3 linked regions of the Saccharomyces cerevisiae S288C genome follow. The gene in region 3 interacts genetically with the main gene of each other region. Each region holds a gene or a part of one and is shown on either strand. Other genes may lie near its edges.

The links.
Region 1: mutations in SPE2 (region 3) and ALR1 impair growth when combined (synthetic growth defect), as found in Saccharomyces cerevisiae (one study listed by BioGRID).
Region 2: of SPE2 (region 3) and MRI1, changing one enhances a phenotype caused by changing the other (phenotypic enhancement), as found in Saccharomyces cerevisiae (one study listed by BioGRID).

Annotation. Positions count from the first base shown.
Region 1 is NC_001147.6:72,061-78,830, reverse strand, and holds ALR1 (Mg(2+) transporter ALR1), read right to left. Parts: upstream 4,432-6,770; coding exon 1,852-4,431; downstream 1-1,851. Other genes in the region: serine/threonine protein kinase YGK3, read left to right, coding at 1-479; VPS68 (Vps68p), read right to left, coding at 717-1,271; YOL131W (uncharacterized protein), read right to left, coding at 5,474-5,800; GAS4 (1,3-beta-glucanosyltransferase), read right to left, coding at 6,116-6,770. UniProt on the Saccharomyces cerevisiae protein: Plasma membrane magnesium transporter.
Region 2 is NC_001148.4:764,976-770,590, reverse strand, and holds MRI1 (S-methyl-5-thioribose-1-phosphate isomerase MRI1), read right to left. Parts: upstream 2,840-5,615; coding exon 1,604-2,839; downstream 1-1,603. Other genes in the region: HOB2 (Hob2p), read right to left, coding at 3,097-5,615. UniProt on the Saccharomyces cerevisiae protein: Catalyzes the interconversion of methylthioribose-1-phosphate (MTR-1-P) into methylthioribulose-1-phosphate (MTRu-1-P).
Region 3 is NC_001147.6:229,875-235,492, forward strand, and holds SPE2 (adenosylmethionine decarboxylase SPE2), read right to left. Parts: upstream 3,763-5,618; coding exon 2,572-3,762; downstream 1-2,571. Other genes in the region: AIM39 (Aim39p), read left to right, coding at 211-1,398; DDR2 (Ddr2p), read right to left, coding at 1,696-1,881; GAL11 (Gal11p), read left to right, coding at 5,066-5,618.

The sequences.
Region 1 (6,770 bases), 160 kb from region 3:
CTGAACTTCTCCTAAATTCGAAGGATTATACAACTCAAATAGATATATGGTCGCTTGGTTGTATAATAGGCGAAATGATAAAAGGCCAGCCACTTTTTAAAGGCGATAGCGCTAACTCACAACTGGAGGAGATAGCTAAACTATTAGGCCGCTTTCCTAAAAGTTCTATAAAAAATTCTCAAGAGTTACAGGATAGCTTAAATGACCAAAAATTCAAGAAGTTTATGCATTGGTTTCCCTCTATAGAATTTTTTGATGTGGAATTCTTGCTAAAGGTGTTGACGTATGATGCCACTGAAAGGTGCGATGCTAGACAATTGATGGCTCACGAATTTTTTGACGCGTTAAGAAATGAAACCTATTTTTTGCCAAGAGGTTCGAGTATGCCGGTTCACCTACCAGACCTCTTTAATTTTAGTGCATCGGAGAAAAGGGCTCTTGGAGAGTATTACAACTTGATTGTGCCATCTCTGGATTAGTTGCTGATTCTTACCTCATTTTTGCATTTGCCGTCATCTTATGTTTCCTTCTTACCACATTACTTGCATTTTTTCTCAGACTGTCCTTTTATGTGAAACATTACAAATATATTGGAATGTACATACTCCTATCTAAAAATCTTTTTGTTTTCGAAAAAGTGTTGATAAATACATATATACGTTTTTTATCTAAATCAGATCGCCTTAATTGGCCTCGAAAATATTGGTCAACTTAACTTAGAGCGTCAAAGAATATGAATATTCATCTTCAACATTTTGGGCTATCCATAAAACAACGCAACTCAATAATATGCATACATTCCCCAACACATTGTTTACTCCCATCCCCAAAGTTGGATAGGTATTGTAATCCTTGACTAAAAATTTGATGATCAACACGACAATGGAGCCTGATAGCCCACCAGCTAATAAAGCAAAGCCAAAAAATAAAACGGTTCGAGCTTGCCATGCCATGCTTGAATCTAAATCGCCTACACCACTACCGAAGGCACCACCATCTGACGATAAAGCTCCCTGCAATAATCTATTCTTTTCAATAGAATTCACAATCAATGTTCCCAGTGTGCTGCAAAGAAAAGGAATCCAGTCAATGAACGTAACATGAACATCTGATGCATTGGAATATCTAGAATAGAGCACTGCGTCTAGAAATATCCAAAAGCCTAGAGCATAGAGAGCACCTGAAAGATAGACCCCACCTTTTCTTATACCACGAAAGGTGGGAATCTTGAAGGGGAAGCGAAATAAGCTAACATGATCATCTGCCTCCATGATGATGTGATTTTCTAATTGATCTTGTAGTTGGGGATAAAGAGTTCTGACCTTTAACTATATGCCCTATACTTGCCTTCTTTATGAAAGGGGCGCTGCACATTATTATTTCTGATTTAGTGAATAAGGTAGGGTAACAAATTCCAGAAGAGAATCGCAGTTCATTTTTACGAAAATGGTCATTAACAAAAGGTCAATAGTAGTATATATCAAGGTGAATGATCTTTAAATGAGGTTTTACTAATTTTCCTAGTTAAATATATATATTTCACTATCGAATGATTGACCGGATTGTACTATTTCTAAATAGGAAACGCCAAACTCAATAAACGAAAAAACATACAAAAAATGGGGTAAAAGATAATACTATTATCTTTGCCCAAGAGTGAAGAGTTAGAATACAGGTCCACTTGTTCTGGGTCTAACGTTCTTAAGCATGACATGGTCATGGAATGATTTTGGAAACTGCTGCCAAGGTCACGGCTAGATCACTAAAATTTAAGTGTAAAAAATGTGAAACGCCAAAATCGTAGATGCACGCCTCTGTGACTTAAATCTTCTATCTTTATCACATCACTAATCAGTCGTAGCGGCTATATCTACTAGGAAGACTTGCAACTGATTTGTTTGAAGGACCGGCTCTTACATTTATATTTTTGGAACGATCATTGAATCTCTTGTTTCTTTTTGGCAAGAAGCTCGAAATAACCGATTTGGCTCCACTTTCAGCGGCCTCGTTAAGTGTTGCAGGAGGGTCTATTCTTTTAATCCAATAGCTGGCCAAGAACCAACCAAGGACGGCCAGCAAAAGCAGCACACCCAATATCCCAAACCACCACGCGATACTGGAATTCTCCCCCGGAACTTTAACATTCATACCGAAAAGACCAGTGATAACATTTAATGGAACTAGCATTGTACCTATCATGGTGACTTTACCCAACATTTCTGTCACTTTATTATTAGAATTAAATGATTCCACTTGCAGTTGAGCTAAGTAGTTTGTATGGGATCTAGAAAAAATTTTTTCGTACGCCAGCAAATTTTGAAACATTGTCAACAAATGATCTTGAATATCACCCAAGTATAGGGCGATATCCCCCCTCGGTTGTGATGTGGTGGGCGCATAATTATTTGGTACAGTTGTCGAACTATTATTTTTGATATGACTGGCGTTATCCTGCCTTGCCTGTAAGTTAGCAATATTTATTTGAGATGTTAGTGCCGGTCCAATACCATTAGCTTCATCTTGGCATCTTTTGGCAAACATTTTGATAACATCAGCCTTACCACTAAGAAGTCTCATCAACGTCATTGTCTTACGCCTACTTTCACCAATTCTTTGTAACATTGCTGCAAAATCCATGTCACGAGCCATGAACACAGAATCTTCGATTGCATCTGCTTCATATTCAATAGATTGAATTACAGGAGCGAAACTATCAGTAATGTCATCGATTAAAGCATAACATAACCAATCTGAATTGACATTGACATAGTCACGTAACTGTCTTACACGCCTTCTGACATTAGCACAATGAGATATTGGGCCAAAATGGAATGTTAAAACACCTGACCTACAGACAACAATGTAAACGTTAATAGGTTCCAGGAAATCCTCTGATTCTTTATCATTTTCAAAGGTATGGAAACAAACGAAGTAATACGATTTGAAAAGTTCCACCTTTTCACGTGTTTCTTGCATTCTGATATCTTCTGCAGTCAATGGATGGATACCAAACGCCTTTGCTATGCAACGCATTTCATCATCAGTTGGACAACTACAATCTAACCACCATGTTGGCTCACCTCCCCTGAATAATTCATAGAATGTTTGTCCCTCAGACACTAAGGAAGGGATATCACTAGCATGAACGGTTTCATCAGATTCGGAACAGAAAAAAGAAAATCTATTAGGAATTTGAAAGTCTGTACCCTGGTAAGAGCAATACGCCGGGTCATTGGATGGAATGTTTTCATTCTCTTCCCCTTCAACTTTATTTTTACCGAAAGATATACCAGGGTGTAAACTAGGCTTGATTTTCTCATGCTCGTCTTCCTTCTTTTCATGGATTTCTGTTTCATTGGTACTCTCGCTCTTTTCACCAGTCTGCGAAACTCTTGGTGTATATTTTAGGGCAGCTGATGATCCCGAAGTGGAAGTAGAGCTGGTAAACCCGATATCCTGAGAAACGTTACTGTACTTCTGTTCGTTGGGCACTTGCAGACTTGCCAAAAATTGACTCTTCTCCGCGTTTGCAAACTGAGCGTACTCTTCCAGTTCATCGAAATCTATACCGTTAACTCTGGTATGCAATTGTGGTGGCATAGGGAAACAAACATCTTCTTCCGTCTCTTGAGAATCTCTCGACGCCTGTGATACGTCACTATCAAAAGAAGCTCTAGTATTCATACGTACTGGTTTTCTTTCCAATGTATCATCATCTGCATCCGATTTTTGGGATGTGCTTTTCGTCAGTAAAACTGCGGGATTGATAGATGAATGCGCAGATGTGGTAGAATATGTCCTCTTCTTGGGTTTAGCCAGCTTGGAGTGTGTATCAGATTTCGATTCGTGTGGGATCTCAAGAACAGGACTGACCAGCGAAGATTTTCTAACCTTCGTAATAGGACTTGCCGAGGAAGATGCGCTCAGCTTGGATTTGTTACCTGATGATGCAGTAGAAGATGACATAGTATAGTCTCTCTTTACACCTACATCCTTTGGTGGTGTGTGTATATTACTTTCCACATAAAGCTGCCTTTGATGTGGCATGGAGTGGGCTAGTCTGGAAGGCCTCGCGTTAGAAGTTAAAATGGCAGATGCCCTCAATTGATGATGAGCAACCGTTTCATCCATACCCTGCCCTTCATCTTCAAAATCCATGCGGCCCCTACTGGGTACGCTTCCCACATCCACATGGCTGTTGTATCTCGTTGCACTCTTCTGCTCCTTAGGAATAGAAGGTTTAGTGGACTTAGCAATTTCCTTGTTCTTCAATGTTGGAGGTTGGTGACGGACCGGCAGTGAGTCAGGGTGCTGCCTATGGTCGTACAATCCCGTATGGTCTTCTGTTTTCATGGAAACCATCGTGTTAGCCAGTGAGTTTGACCGCGATAAATTAGGCGATGACTCTGATGAACTTGAGGATGATGACATGGTAAAATGCTTTTACGCTTTCTAGCAATATTCGATGATCTTTGAGAAGAAGTAATGGTATCCTTTTGTTGAATTTATGTTCAACTAACAGTATACTTCCATGTAGAAATATTTTATATAATACCTGTCTCTTGTCAGGATGATATTTTTCTTGCTTATAGAAGGAAAAACTCAACTAATCAGGGCACTCTTTCTAATTTTGAGTCTATATTGAAGGATGGCCTTGCACACTACGTTTTCTACTGTTAAGTCAGTTTATCCAGAAAAAGAAAAGTGTTCATAGGATAGGAACGTACGTTATTATGCATAATTAGTTCGATGGACCATGTTCCAGAGAAAATTTTAATTTCAGATATCGTTTTTGTATCTCAAAGCGGACGGGCTGAGTAAAAACGTGCTTGCGATATTTGCAATTTTATGAGGAATAAAAAAGAAAAAAGGAGGGGTAGCATTTAGCATATTAAGGATCATTGAGTCCCATGTATTACGGCAATTAAATGAGTAGATGCTGCCAGAGTACTGAAATTTTTAGGCAATTTTTGGCTTTAGTTGTGTCTACCGCCAGTTGAATGGAGCTATAAAACAAGTCTAGGTGAACCTACGCTGACATTTTGAAATTAATCAATTAAAATCAGTTTTTGATACATGCGTTATGTAATCCTTAGCGTAGAAGACCCTACTTGTTTCCTATAGAGGAAAAGGTTGTATATTTTAGAGATTCGTCCATTCAAGGGGTTGCATATAGGGGGGACATACTATAACGGAAAATACTAGTTCAAAGCGTTGCCCTCGAAAAAGAGACGGAGGAGTACGTAGAACAATACATAAACACACAATATACCATCGGAGAACAACAAGTTGTTCCAAAAAAGCAGTCGTCCTAGAGTGAGGCTATCATAGCGTAGACGCCTAAATACTTAACACTCTCAAACAAAAGTTCATCTTACGCATTTCATAGCTTGGTCAAAGAGTTAATGAGATAAAATCTCAAAGATTAGTAGAAAAGTTAGGATCGGAACTATTTTGATTCGGTTCTAATTTCCTAGTATTGCGAATCTACCGTGTTCTCTTCATCCTCCCCCTGCGATGAGCTTGGTGGAACGGGAGGGGGTGAATCCAAACATTTAAAGCCTTGAATCAAGGGCACATGTTCTTCCTCCAGGTCAGGGCTAAATATTCTACACCTAGATCGCTCTAACTGTGATTGCGCGTCATTTATCTTTATCTCTGGAAATACCTTTGTTTCCATGCGAATCCGTTTGGCAACTTTACTGAGGTTGAACCTTAAGTTCCATACAGAATGTGCTAGTTCTGCTCTTTGCAAAACCTTATCTTGGACTTCGTCTTGTGCTATCTTATTAGTATTCATTCTCTGTCTATCTTATCTTCTACGACTACTACTGCCAGGTCTTTATCTAAATAAGAAGTGGCAAAAGGATACTTAAAAGCTCGGCGGCAAAAGTTTCTCGGCCACTAATTTACCCTAATGGACTCGTACTGTGCATATAAAACACATATCATACCGAGTAAAGAAGTCACCCCAAGAAGAACTTAACTGGAAATTCCTGCATAGCGTTATTTCAGAGAGTGTTATAGGCTCTGATTTTTATCACGTTTAGCAATAGCCATAGTCACTTTTTTAAATATGTATTTACTCTTTAAAAAGGGAGAACGACATTAAAGTCTAAAAAAATAAACTAAAAGTAAAAAAAAGCAAACACAACCCAAGAGGTAACAATGGGCCGGAAATAGAGGCAGAATTCCGGTGTTTTCGTTTTAAATCATCTTTGTCTTCATCTGCGTCTTCTTGTTCTTCTCCTTCCAGGTCTGCCAATGTCAGGCTTTGCCTAATTTCAATCTTTTTGGGCCCATTCCATCTGTCACCATGCTTGTCTAAAATCGTGACATTGGTGGACAGCTGATCCTCGTGAATATCTATGTATTTGCCTTTTTCAACTTTCACGCCTTTTTTTATCAAAGAACTTCCTAAATTTTTAGCAATTTTAGATTCAATCTTCAAATTTTCATAATCTTCCGCACATGATGGCGTCTCCTCCATCTGAACAGTTTCCTTTAAAGTCTTCATAGAAGGAAACTCAATGTTTTGGTAGTGCGATTTAAGCTTCTCAAAATCTGCTAAGAGCTGTACTGAATCATCTTCTTGATATTCAACTAACCCATAATTATTATCCTCCTGTGAAAATTCGTAAACCAGACCTCCACAGAATACTGAATACATCTCCTCAGAAAACAAATAACCTATTTCCTGGAATTGCCTTGGCAATACTTTATTGCATCCAAATTCTGAAAAAAAAACTGGCTTGGAATAGCTCCTGTAA
Region 2 (5,615 bases), on a different chromosome or scaffold from region 3:
AAACACTTGACCCCTATTTTTGTAATAAAACCGTTTTCAAGGTAAGGCAGTTAGTAATTTATGTACAACAGAAATTTCTGCCATTTCTTTCACGACAATAACGTAGGATAAGGCCATGAAAAACAAAAATACTAAAGTGCTTATCTAATAAAAGGAAAGGATTAAGCAGTTCCTGCCCATATTTTGGAAAGGCCGTAGCTTAGTTTCCCTGAAATTTACTTCAAGAAAGGTCTGCTTAGCAGTCACATATGTCAATTGTGGGCTGTTTAGTCAAAACCACTTGGAGGTTGATGAATTGATAGTATTTTGGTAAATGAACTAAATATACATTATCAATAAGACGTTGGAGGGGCTTTCTGTATAAATTCACCGAACACTCCCAAATTATGATAAACTTGCTTAAGCATCTTTTCGAAATGCAGTGCATGTGTTAAGTGACAAGCTAAAGGTAAGACATTACGATAATACTCTGTATAGATCGTAGTAACATGAATTATGAAGCATATAAAAATAATATGAAATGTTCATCGAATTTAATAAGTATAAATGCATGAAGATAATAATTCAATAAGATAGATAAACAAAAACGCATGAAGAGAACTTGTAGAACAATAAGCATATATCACCACTCCACTTTTTCTGAAAATTGTGTAGAAATGTAAATTCTGTGATGTTCGTTATGATTCAGTTTCTGTTTCTCAATCTCTATGTCATACTCTTACGCTATATGATAACACACTAGTAGTAGGAAAACTGGTCAAGAGATGATTGTTGTTTCTTTTCCCAACTCATACACCCCAAACAAATGCCTTTATCAAAATCCGATCTCAACACTTATCTTAGTTTACACATTTATCAAATAAGGTTGGCAATGTACCTTTTTCGGAAGGTAAACATCAAATATTTATAGAAATATTTATTAAGGACGCTCTGTTGTATTACGGGCTCGAGTAATACCGGAGTGTCTTGACAATCCTAATATAAACAGTCTTAGGGAAGTAACCAGTTGTTAAAACAGTTTATCAGATTAATTCACGGAATGTTACTTATCTTATATACTATATAAAATATGAATCATACTAAGTGGTGGAAACGCGGAATCTCGGATCTAAACTAATTGTTCAGGCATTTATACTTTTGGGTAGTTCAGCTAGGGAAGGACGGGTTTTGTCTCATGTTGTTCGTTTTGTTATAAGGTTGTTTCATATGTGTTTTATGAACGTTCAGGATGACGTATTGTCATACTGACATATCTCATTTTGAGATACAACACGCTCCGAAGAACTCATCCTTGTTAGCTCAGTTGGTAGAGCGTTCGGCTTTTAAGCGCATTTGCTTAAGCAAGGATACCGAAATGTCAGGGGTTCGAGCCCCCTATGAGGAGTTCTTTACTTTTTTGCACGTTTTACAAATATGCAGAAACAAAGACAATACATATTGTATCAGTTGGTTATAGTGTTTTGGACTTACAAGGTTCTGACAATATACATTAATGTGTTCCTTTTATTGAATGAAAAAAAAAAATAATTCTTACATCTCAATATGAAATTTTATCCTTTACAGTACAAAAGTAATTATTTCGAGAGTCTAATTAGAATGATATCTAGAAAAGGCTTTCCAGTTGAAATTCACCACTGGAATTTTTGGTAAATACACCTTCTTCTGTGATAATTCCGTCAATAAGCTCATGTGGAGTAATGTCGAAGGCTGGATTCCAGACATTGATTTCAAGAGGGGCAATACCGACCTTTCCAGTGATTGGCTCTCCTGACTCATTCAATATCAAGGAACCATTTTCAGGATTAATTACTGTACCAGTAACAACCTTGAATTCCTCAGGGTTACGTTCTTCCACAATAATGTCATCGCCAGTTTCGGTTACATTATCGATAGTTGTTTTGGGAGCTACTACAAAAAACTTAATTCCGAACTGCTTACAAATTACAGCAAGTTGTAAAGTACCAATTTTATTTGCTGTATCCCCATTACGAACAATTCTATCAGCTCCAACAAATGCTGCTTTGATTGGAATTGGACTAGTTCTAATTCTATACGCGATGGAACTATCAGTAATTAAAGTTGATGGAATCTTATCATAAACTAGCTCGTATGCTGTTAGCCTTGACCCTTGATTATAAGGTCTAGTTTCCAGTGGGAAGACATGGCCCATCCTCGGGCATTTTTCATTGTCCAATCCCGAGTCTGCCTTGTCGGTTTTAGCAAGTGAATCCTTCCACAAAGAACGGATAACACCTAAAGCCGTGCCATATCCAGAGGTTGCTAAGGATCCAGTATTACAAATCGTCAGAACGGCAAATTCGTCCTTGAAACCGTCCTTTTGTAACACGTCAATCAAATACTTAGCTCCATTATCACCCATTTTCATGTTATTCGCCAAATCCTCATCTATCAATTCACAGACGTAATTATATAAACTACCGTCAAAAGCCTTTAGGTCACTTGAGGATTTCAGTATGTTCTTTATCTCTACAAGAGAATTTGATAAATTAACGGCTGTGGGTCTACTACTCAAAAGGAAATCTAGCCTCTTATTTAGCACTGTTTTTGTAGATTCCCAGTTAACTAAAGAATACAGCGTAGCAACATCAGAAGTTGGGTTGTGTTTTATTAATTGTACCTCAGTCAAAACAGATAACGAACCCACAATTGCAATTGCCGGGGCACCTCTCACCTGCATACTTTTGATGACTGAGTACCCATCATCAATTGTGTGAATTGGAACGTATTTAGTAGTATATGGTAAAAGTAATTGATCAAGTACCTTTACCGAAACATTTTCTGGCTCCGATCTATCAAAGACGATGGCTTCCAACGACATTTTTTGTCAGCAGTTTGATAGATCACTTTGTCGGTCGTAGATATTGCTCTTAATCTTTTTATTCTAGCATGCTAAATTGATGAATGGGGAATACTTTGGCCGTGCGCCCCATCATCTCATCTTAGTAAGTGAAAAACCGGAAAAACTAACGCCAAGAAGGCCTGTAAAAAAAAAATCTTACTGATTTTCATTTTAGTATATAATACAATTACTATATAACTGAAGAATATTTACGCTAGACACATGTGTGTGTTTCCTCATTTATTTTTTGAAAACTCACTCGTAACAGGGTAAAATGGCTTTACTCCATTTCCATCATTTTCATTATACGTTTCATCTGAGTTTATTGATCTGATATCTGAAGAGTGCGTGGAGCTATAAAATGAATTATGCCCTTCGACTTCAAGGATATGTGAATTATCACGATTTTGAGAATCTGGACTTAGTAATCGATGTATTTCCATAGAAGTTTTTTTCTTATTCTCTTTTTTATGAGGCAAAAATTTGTTACCAATAATATTTCCCAAATGTTGTAAAACTATTCTTACGACGTCTCTTTTCAAAGCAGTAAAAAATTCTTCCCTCGACCACAGTTTGTTATGGTACTTTAAAACAGGGACTCTAACAATCAGGTTATTAACATCGGTCAAAAGGCTGTGTGAACCCTTATAACACACGGACATTAGAGTTTTTCGGATTATAATAGATTTTACATTGAAAAATGTCCCTGATCTTTTGACCATTTCATTGATGTTATAATCAGGTTGCACAAAAAGTGATGCTGACAATTTTCTATGATCACCCTTATGCTTTTTGATACCTTCTTTGCTCTGGATACTACGCAAGTCCCAAGAGTCAACGTCTTTCGCATCGTACACAGATAAAGAACCGTTAGAAAGACTGTGCCGTAAAACTGGAGACGATGAAAAGAAGGAACTAGTGGAAGAACGTGGTACAAGTTCTGGAGAATTGGGTTCTATGGAAGTTTGTTCTATCTTTGGAAATAGATAATTCATTAGTTTTTCCGATGTTTTGTGATCCATCTTGAAAATCAATGGCTGTAGAGAAACAATCAAATCTTGCAGATCTGAAATACCTCCAACTGATGGCCCCAGGATCCAAAAAATTTCTACCATTGGCGCGTTCTTATTATAGGATGAATTTTCATAAAAGGGGGCCAGCAATTCAGTGTAAACGGGATTTTCTTGCTGGTTGAAACATTGTAAGGAAGAAATGGATACTTTATTACTATTAGTGCCATCGGAAGTTTCTGAACGAATAAATGTAGAGGGCCCCAATCCGATAGTCACGAAAGGAGTTTTACTCTCATCGTACAATTCCCATATCAATTCATCTGTTCCAACTTGCCACCTCAATCTTTTCTGTATTACTCTATTACCACTCCCCATCCGGTCGTAAGTTTTCTTGATTGCCGTCATAAGTAACGTCAACTTCAACGTACTAGTTTGAATATCGAAGGTTAGCTCTTGTCCTGATTTCATAAACAATCTTGGCTCGTGAAGTTTGAGGTATGCTCGCGTATAATAGAGTTCCTTTATTCTTTCTTGTAATGCTGTGACAACAGAGACATCAAGATTTTCCAGGTTATTTCTGACCTCATCAGTAAATAATATCCTGGAAAGTTTCTCAACTTTTTCATCCAATGATGATCCAAAGGAAAGTAAATCTTCTGCGATTGCATATACAGCGCAGTATTGTTGACAGTCCGAGGTCAGAACCAATCCTGGAAATGCAATACGAAATCTCGAATCATAAGAGAATGCAGACGTATCATTTGCACTAAAAAATAGGGGATTGGGAGCGACGTAGGTCAAAAACATTGATCTCCGTTTTAGAAAAACATGCTTATCTAATAAAGACCCGTCAAAGCACATTTCAAGAGGAATCCATGGGGGCCATATATCTGACTCTTTGTCGGAACCATATCCATTTTTATGGAAAAATCTACCTTCAGGACCCTCTAAATCCTTTTTGAACAATGTAAACAACTGAATGTCCTTTGAAACAGCGGAATAGCGAGTTTCAACAATAGTATCGACGTCAACGGGAATTCTTTTTCCTGATTTTCCATACACTTGAACTATATCAATTATTCCCATTTCTATATCCCTAGCAGCTAAAATAACTGCTGCGTTCCTTTCAACGTCCGATTTGATCTGAACCTGAGGGGAGATTAGTCTAAAAAGATAATTATCAACATAATCAAAGTCATCACTCGGAACTTCTCTGATGAGTTTCTCAAAGTGCTCAATAAATTCTGAATTACTGGCTAAATCGTCCTCAAGTATTGAACCATAATCTTCTACAGATGTTCTGACCCCAGTCAACACATTTCCCAGTAATTCTTTTAAAATAGTTACGGATTTATAAGTCACAGCAAACCTCATAGATTTCCTTTCGAAAGCACTGGAAGCGTATTCCAAAAGGTGATGCCTGATTTTATTATCGATTTTTAACTCGATATTATGGACCATGAAACGGTTATCATAGGTGGACTCAACCTGCATAGTAGAGGCTTTTCTCATTGATACAAAAGACTCCACGGTATTGGTCCTCAATAGCGATATTCTATTTTGAATTGGCGGTGCATTTTCCAAATTTACATCAGTATCGGAGAGTGAGCTGGAGCTATCACCATCAGTATTTCCTCCAGGAATAGTCTCCGAGATTTTTAAATCGCTCAAGATGGTGTTGACTGTGTGCAATCTGTGGTTTAATTCAGCTACCTCTGCTTTTAATTCGCGTGCATAGCGCT
Region 3 (5,618 bases):
CTTTTATGTATGTTTTTAAAAAATTTCCTTTCTATCCTTATTACATTAAGATTTTTAAGCGATAGTAGGATCGGAAATATAAGCACTCGTTTATGATATAAATAGGTCAAGAATTTCGTAAAGTAAAATCAATACATATGTGAATCTTTTTTTTTTTTTTTTTGGGACTGCTATTGGTATTTTTTTAGCGTCACGTTAATCAGCCCAATTATGTGGGGGTTATGCAAGAAGCATTTTCCGAGCAATAAAATTCAAGTGCAGGAGAGAAACAAAGCATTAAAACCAAAGAAGAGTGGCAGCGAACATAAGACAAAGCAACTGTTTCCTGTATTCAATTGCAAGAAGAAGGAAAAAGGGGTAATGATACGGTTTGCGATTCTACGTAATGCTAACACATCTCTACTGTCCGCGAGAAGTATATGCTTATTTACCCAGGCGCCTACCTATTGTCATGTAAGGTTGAATACCTTGAATAAAAGCATTACAACTAAAAGAAATTCATTGACAGAGTCGAAAAGGCATGTCCATGATGGCAAGCATTTTTTTACGACGCCACATCAACAGCAACAGACGAAGTTGGGGGAAATTGAAGAGGGACACAGTCCTAACATAAAAGGAGAGGACTTGAGAAGCATTGGTCAAGCAATAACACATCAGCGAAACAAGCGCCGAAAGCAAATATGGTCCGCCATATTTGGTGGTATATTCGGTGTGATATTAGGATACTCACTAATCTATAGAGTGATATATTTAAAGGAACAAAGTTTCTTACCATTGTTTCCATCATCCAAGATACGTAAACTGAGTACCAGAGATTTGAAAAAGGTTGACGTAAACCAAGTACAGAAGCTTTCTAAATTAAGGGTTTTAGAGATATTATCCGGTCATGACATGATCAAGGAACAATACGGAGTACCATTGCTTGATAAAGATGGCAATTCACCCACGTTAAATGAATTCAGCATGTGGTGCGAAGATCAAGATCCATGTGTAACTGGTATTGTAATGGAGCCAGACGATAAAAGGGATAGTTCGCACACTTGGTATAGAATACCCTTTGTTTGCAAATGGAGGATAACGCATCGGCCAATAAGTATACGGGGAACCATCGACGATTTACTGAACCGCATTGGTTTGGAAACAGCCGATTTATTTGAGATTATATCGCCGGAGAGGGTATACGGGTCGTTCAAGTACGAATACCCACTGCAGGGGGACTCACATGCATTACACCTTTGGTTTCATGGCGAAATCGAACTGGACGATGATTCTTTGATTGTATATAATGGAAAATACCACGTTGATGTTAAATTGCAAGAAATCGACCTCTTCAGACGTGAAAAGAACGGACAACTAATACAGTACGTTCTATACAAAAACGAAGCGGGCGACAAGTAAGAAAAATGTAAATATTTTTATCACAATTATGATTATTATCGTTATTAAACTACTTATTTTCGGTTACGTAGATGAAATAGTGTTATATAAGAATATTTGAGAAAGTAAAACTGATAAATAAATATAATGGAATGAAAAAATAGAGACGAACTGGAAGAAGAGAAAAAAAATTAAAGCACCAAATTTACTACTCTGGGGCCTATAGATGGAATATCAAAGGGGAAGATGAGAAAAGAAATTATACATTTCAGAAACGTCAATAGGGTATCATCATCGTGGCAGTAAGCGGCGTTTTTCCTAAATCAAAAAGGCCAAAGCACCACCAACAGCAGCACCGACGACTCCGGCGTTTAGTAGTTGACCATTTTGAGCGTGCAAAGCAGGAGCAGCGTTACTCGTGGTGTTGGATGCGTTTTGAGCATTTACGCTAGTAGCGAGGCCGAAGACAGAGATGGCAGAAATGAAAACTTGTGATACTTTCATGTTTAAATCGATATTAAATTAGCGTGCTTGCTTGGAGGGCTTTTCAGAATGAAAAAAAAAAGAATGAAGAAAGAATTAACCAAAGAATGGAGGTTATGTGTAAGAAATGGCATTTATATATACATTTATATAAAAATGTATAAACATACTTGCATTATTGATGTCCCATAAGGGGTGAGAAAAGACAAAAATGGAAACAGGGGAAAAGAAGAAGAGTAAAAAAAGGATTATTTTAGGAGAGAAAGGGGATTAGAAGAACATCGGGCATAAACCTTTGAGCATCATCCTTTATTGATGTTTGACACCTTGCGATTGATGAAAAATATTGATGATATTAAGGTATTTCTGATAGCCACTGCCCCGTCCCTTGAAGCGGCCTTCCGTCGAGGCCTTGGCAACCGTGTCTGGGTGTGTGATATATTACATCAGAGGAAATAAAAGCTTGAGCGGCTAAACTCCCTTAGCTCAGGGGTGGTCTGGCCAGGAATTTTCAGTGGCCATTTTTCCTGTTCCGGGTCCGGCCAATCTGTGCCGGTTTTCTCTAGAGGAAAAAAAAAAGCATGCGGGGTAATGATGTAGAAGATATACAAGCGGGTTAAACTACATTAGTTATGAGTGCTAGAAAGCAAGCGAAGGATAATAGAAGAGGGCTATTCTATGTAAGTATGAGGAGACACAAATGGCGGCTTTTCATATTTTCTTCTGCAATTTCATATAGAAAAGGTGGTAGTCGTCCAGATCATAAACAATTTTGTCTAACTTGATGTAGTCGGGCAGTGACTCGTTGATGCTTAGTAGTTTTTGGAAGGATTGGTTCTGATAATTTTTGGTAAAAAAGGTCATCGAGAACTCTCTTGGTTGAAAAACGTTCAGAATATGTAGAAGAACGTCCAAGTTGTCTTGCTTCCCTTGGGAAATGTCAAATACGGGTATGTTACTTTCGAAAGAGGCGTAAGACCAACCCTTTTCCGGAGTCACGTGCAGGGTGTAATAGTATTTTTCAGCGAGAATCATATTGGATGAGTATCCACATGGCGTGAACGCAAATGCATCGTGGTGAAATGATAAATCGGAGTCTTGGGCCGAGTTGACATATATTTCGTCAAGCCTTGTATTTTTAGTCATTTGGTAGCCGAGGTTGTGGCCCTTATCTTCGTTTGGCTCCACGAGAGCGGTTGTGGATGCCTCAGGCCCGCAAACAAACTTACTAGCGCATTCTGGGTCCAGCTCCGTCATCAGTACTTCGAAAGTTTCGTCGTCATCCTCGATGTACTCCTTTCCCTTAGGTGTGGAGCGGTCCGTCTCGGTGACGTACAGGTTCCAGTGGTTGCTCTTGTCATTTCTTCCCACGGAATAACTTTTACCATTGTCGAAAAATTTGTTCAAATAGTCGACTTCGTCAGCCCAGTTTTGATGGATAGCGGCTTGCTTACAGGGGAAAAGGAAACATCGTCTAGAATAAAACACTTTAAATGGTTTGTACTTGCCCCCTTGTGTTGTGCGGAAAGCCCACGATAACTCTTGCTCAACGATCTGGAAAAGCTTTTCGAGACAGAACAATGTGGTTGTAGTACCGCACGTCTTCATCGTCAATTTGTGATCGAAGACGAAGAGGGAAGACTCACTCAACAAAAAGGCATCCAGTTCTTTAGTCTTCTTCATGGAAAGAACTTCGCATTTCACTAATTTCAAAATCTCGATCCATCTATCCATGCCAATATTTCTTAATGTCTTTTCGGTCGTGATGGACTTCTTGTGAGGGAAGAACCAGATTTCCAGCAACTTCTCGGGACCCTCGAACGCATCCGTTGAGTCTAAAGTGGCTGATAGTTCGTGGTCAATGTAGTTGTGGTTAGTCAATTCTTTTATGGTGACAGTCATTCTATGGTCCGCCTATTTGCGTAAGACACTATATGAAAACCTAAAAAATATAAAAAAGAAGCTACAGTACAGTAATTGATTAACCTGGAAGAAAAAAAAGAAAAAAAGAGTTGATGCAAGGAGCGAGCTGTAGCGAATACAATATATACACGTATAGATATGCAGAGATGCTTTTAGTCGATTAGCAAAGTTTATTCGATGCCTAAATACCGGAGAACCGTGTTTGGAATTTTTTTTCTTCGAGTGGAAAAAAGTGAAAATTTCCAAAGTCAATCATTGTGTACGTACGCTGAAATTGGATGCAGAAGAGGTAAAAGGCGAAGGAAAAGAGGGCGAGGGTAAAAAGCCTGATTGCCAAACCATGGTGCCCAATTTATTGGATATTACTACTGATGGAAGGCTACATATCTCTGGCGCTTTCTATCAGCTGTCATCGATTTGAAATTCTTCTAGCCCTAGGAACGCCATTATGGGGCTTATCCGGGTAGCCAGTTGGCGGTTTTAGTTTTTTCACTTCTTGATTTTTTTCTAGTTCGAAGAATTTTTTCCACTGATGATTGAGCTATAAAAGAGCCTGATTAAGATGAAGAGCTCCGATTCTCTTCGTTAACGGAGCATCAAACATGACGTTAGCGTCAAGTAACCTACGATATTTGTGCAACAGACATGATGGAGTACCCTCATGCTTTGGCGCGTGCGCATCTATATAAGGTTAGGGACTGCAAAAGAAGCGGCGAGGCAGCCCACATCAAGTGGAACTACACAGACTTCCTTGTCGCGATACTACGGTCCCAAGAGCAATCCTAACAAGCAATTACATATTCCCCCGCTGAACCTGTACAGTCCACGGATGGTGCAGAAGTTATATGATTTGGGGGAAGACGCTTTTTCACATCTTCTTGCATGATAAGAGTAGTAGTAACTAAGTAATATGATTCAGTCAGTCTCTAGTTAATATAATTAGGCATTACCCTACATTGTGGCGGCCTCTTTTTTATTTCGAATCGGGCCTTCCTTCCACCCCGGCCCCGGTTGCGTCGATCAGAAAATTATATTATGGATGAGGATGATGAAGGTGCTTAACCTTTACAGTCAAACTTTTAATAGTCAACCATTCACAAGGACTAGGAATTTGTCTCTGGAAACAGCTGGTTCCACAAAGAAGTACTTCCACGACATTGCTATATACTTGTGCTGGTATATTTTTCTTTGTTAGTTAAACCCCATTTTTATAAGCGTATCGTTTCGTATAGTGCCGTACTCAAAGATCAAGGATTAAAACGCTATTTCTTTTAAATCTGCTATGTCTGCTGCTCCTGTCCAAGACAAAGACACTCTGTCCAATGCCGAGCGTGCGAAGAACGTCAACGGGTTGCTTCAGGTGCTCATGGACATTAACACTCTGAACGGAGGGAGCTCCGACACTGCTGATAAGATAAGAATTCATGCCAAAAACTTCGAGGCAGCTTTGTTCGCAAAGAGCTCTTCAAAGAAAGAATACATGGACAGCATGAACGAAAAAGTTGCTGTCATGCGCAACACGTACAATACGAGGAAAAACGCCGTTACTGCTGCTGCCGCTAATAACAACATTAAACCCGTGGAACAGCACCATATTAACAACTTGAAAAATTCTGGCAACAGCGCCAATAATATGAATGTCAATATGAATCTAAACCCACAGATGTTCTTGAATCAGCAGGCTCAGGCAAGGCAACAGGTTGCGCAACAATTAAGAAATCAACAACAACAACAACAACAGCAGCAGCAGCAACAGAGGCGTCAATTGACTCCTCAACAACAACAATTAGTGAACCAGATGAAAGTGGCACCTATTCCCAAACAATTACTGCAAA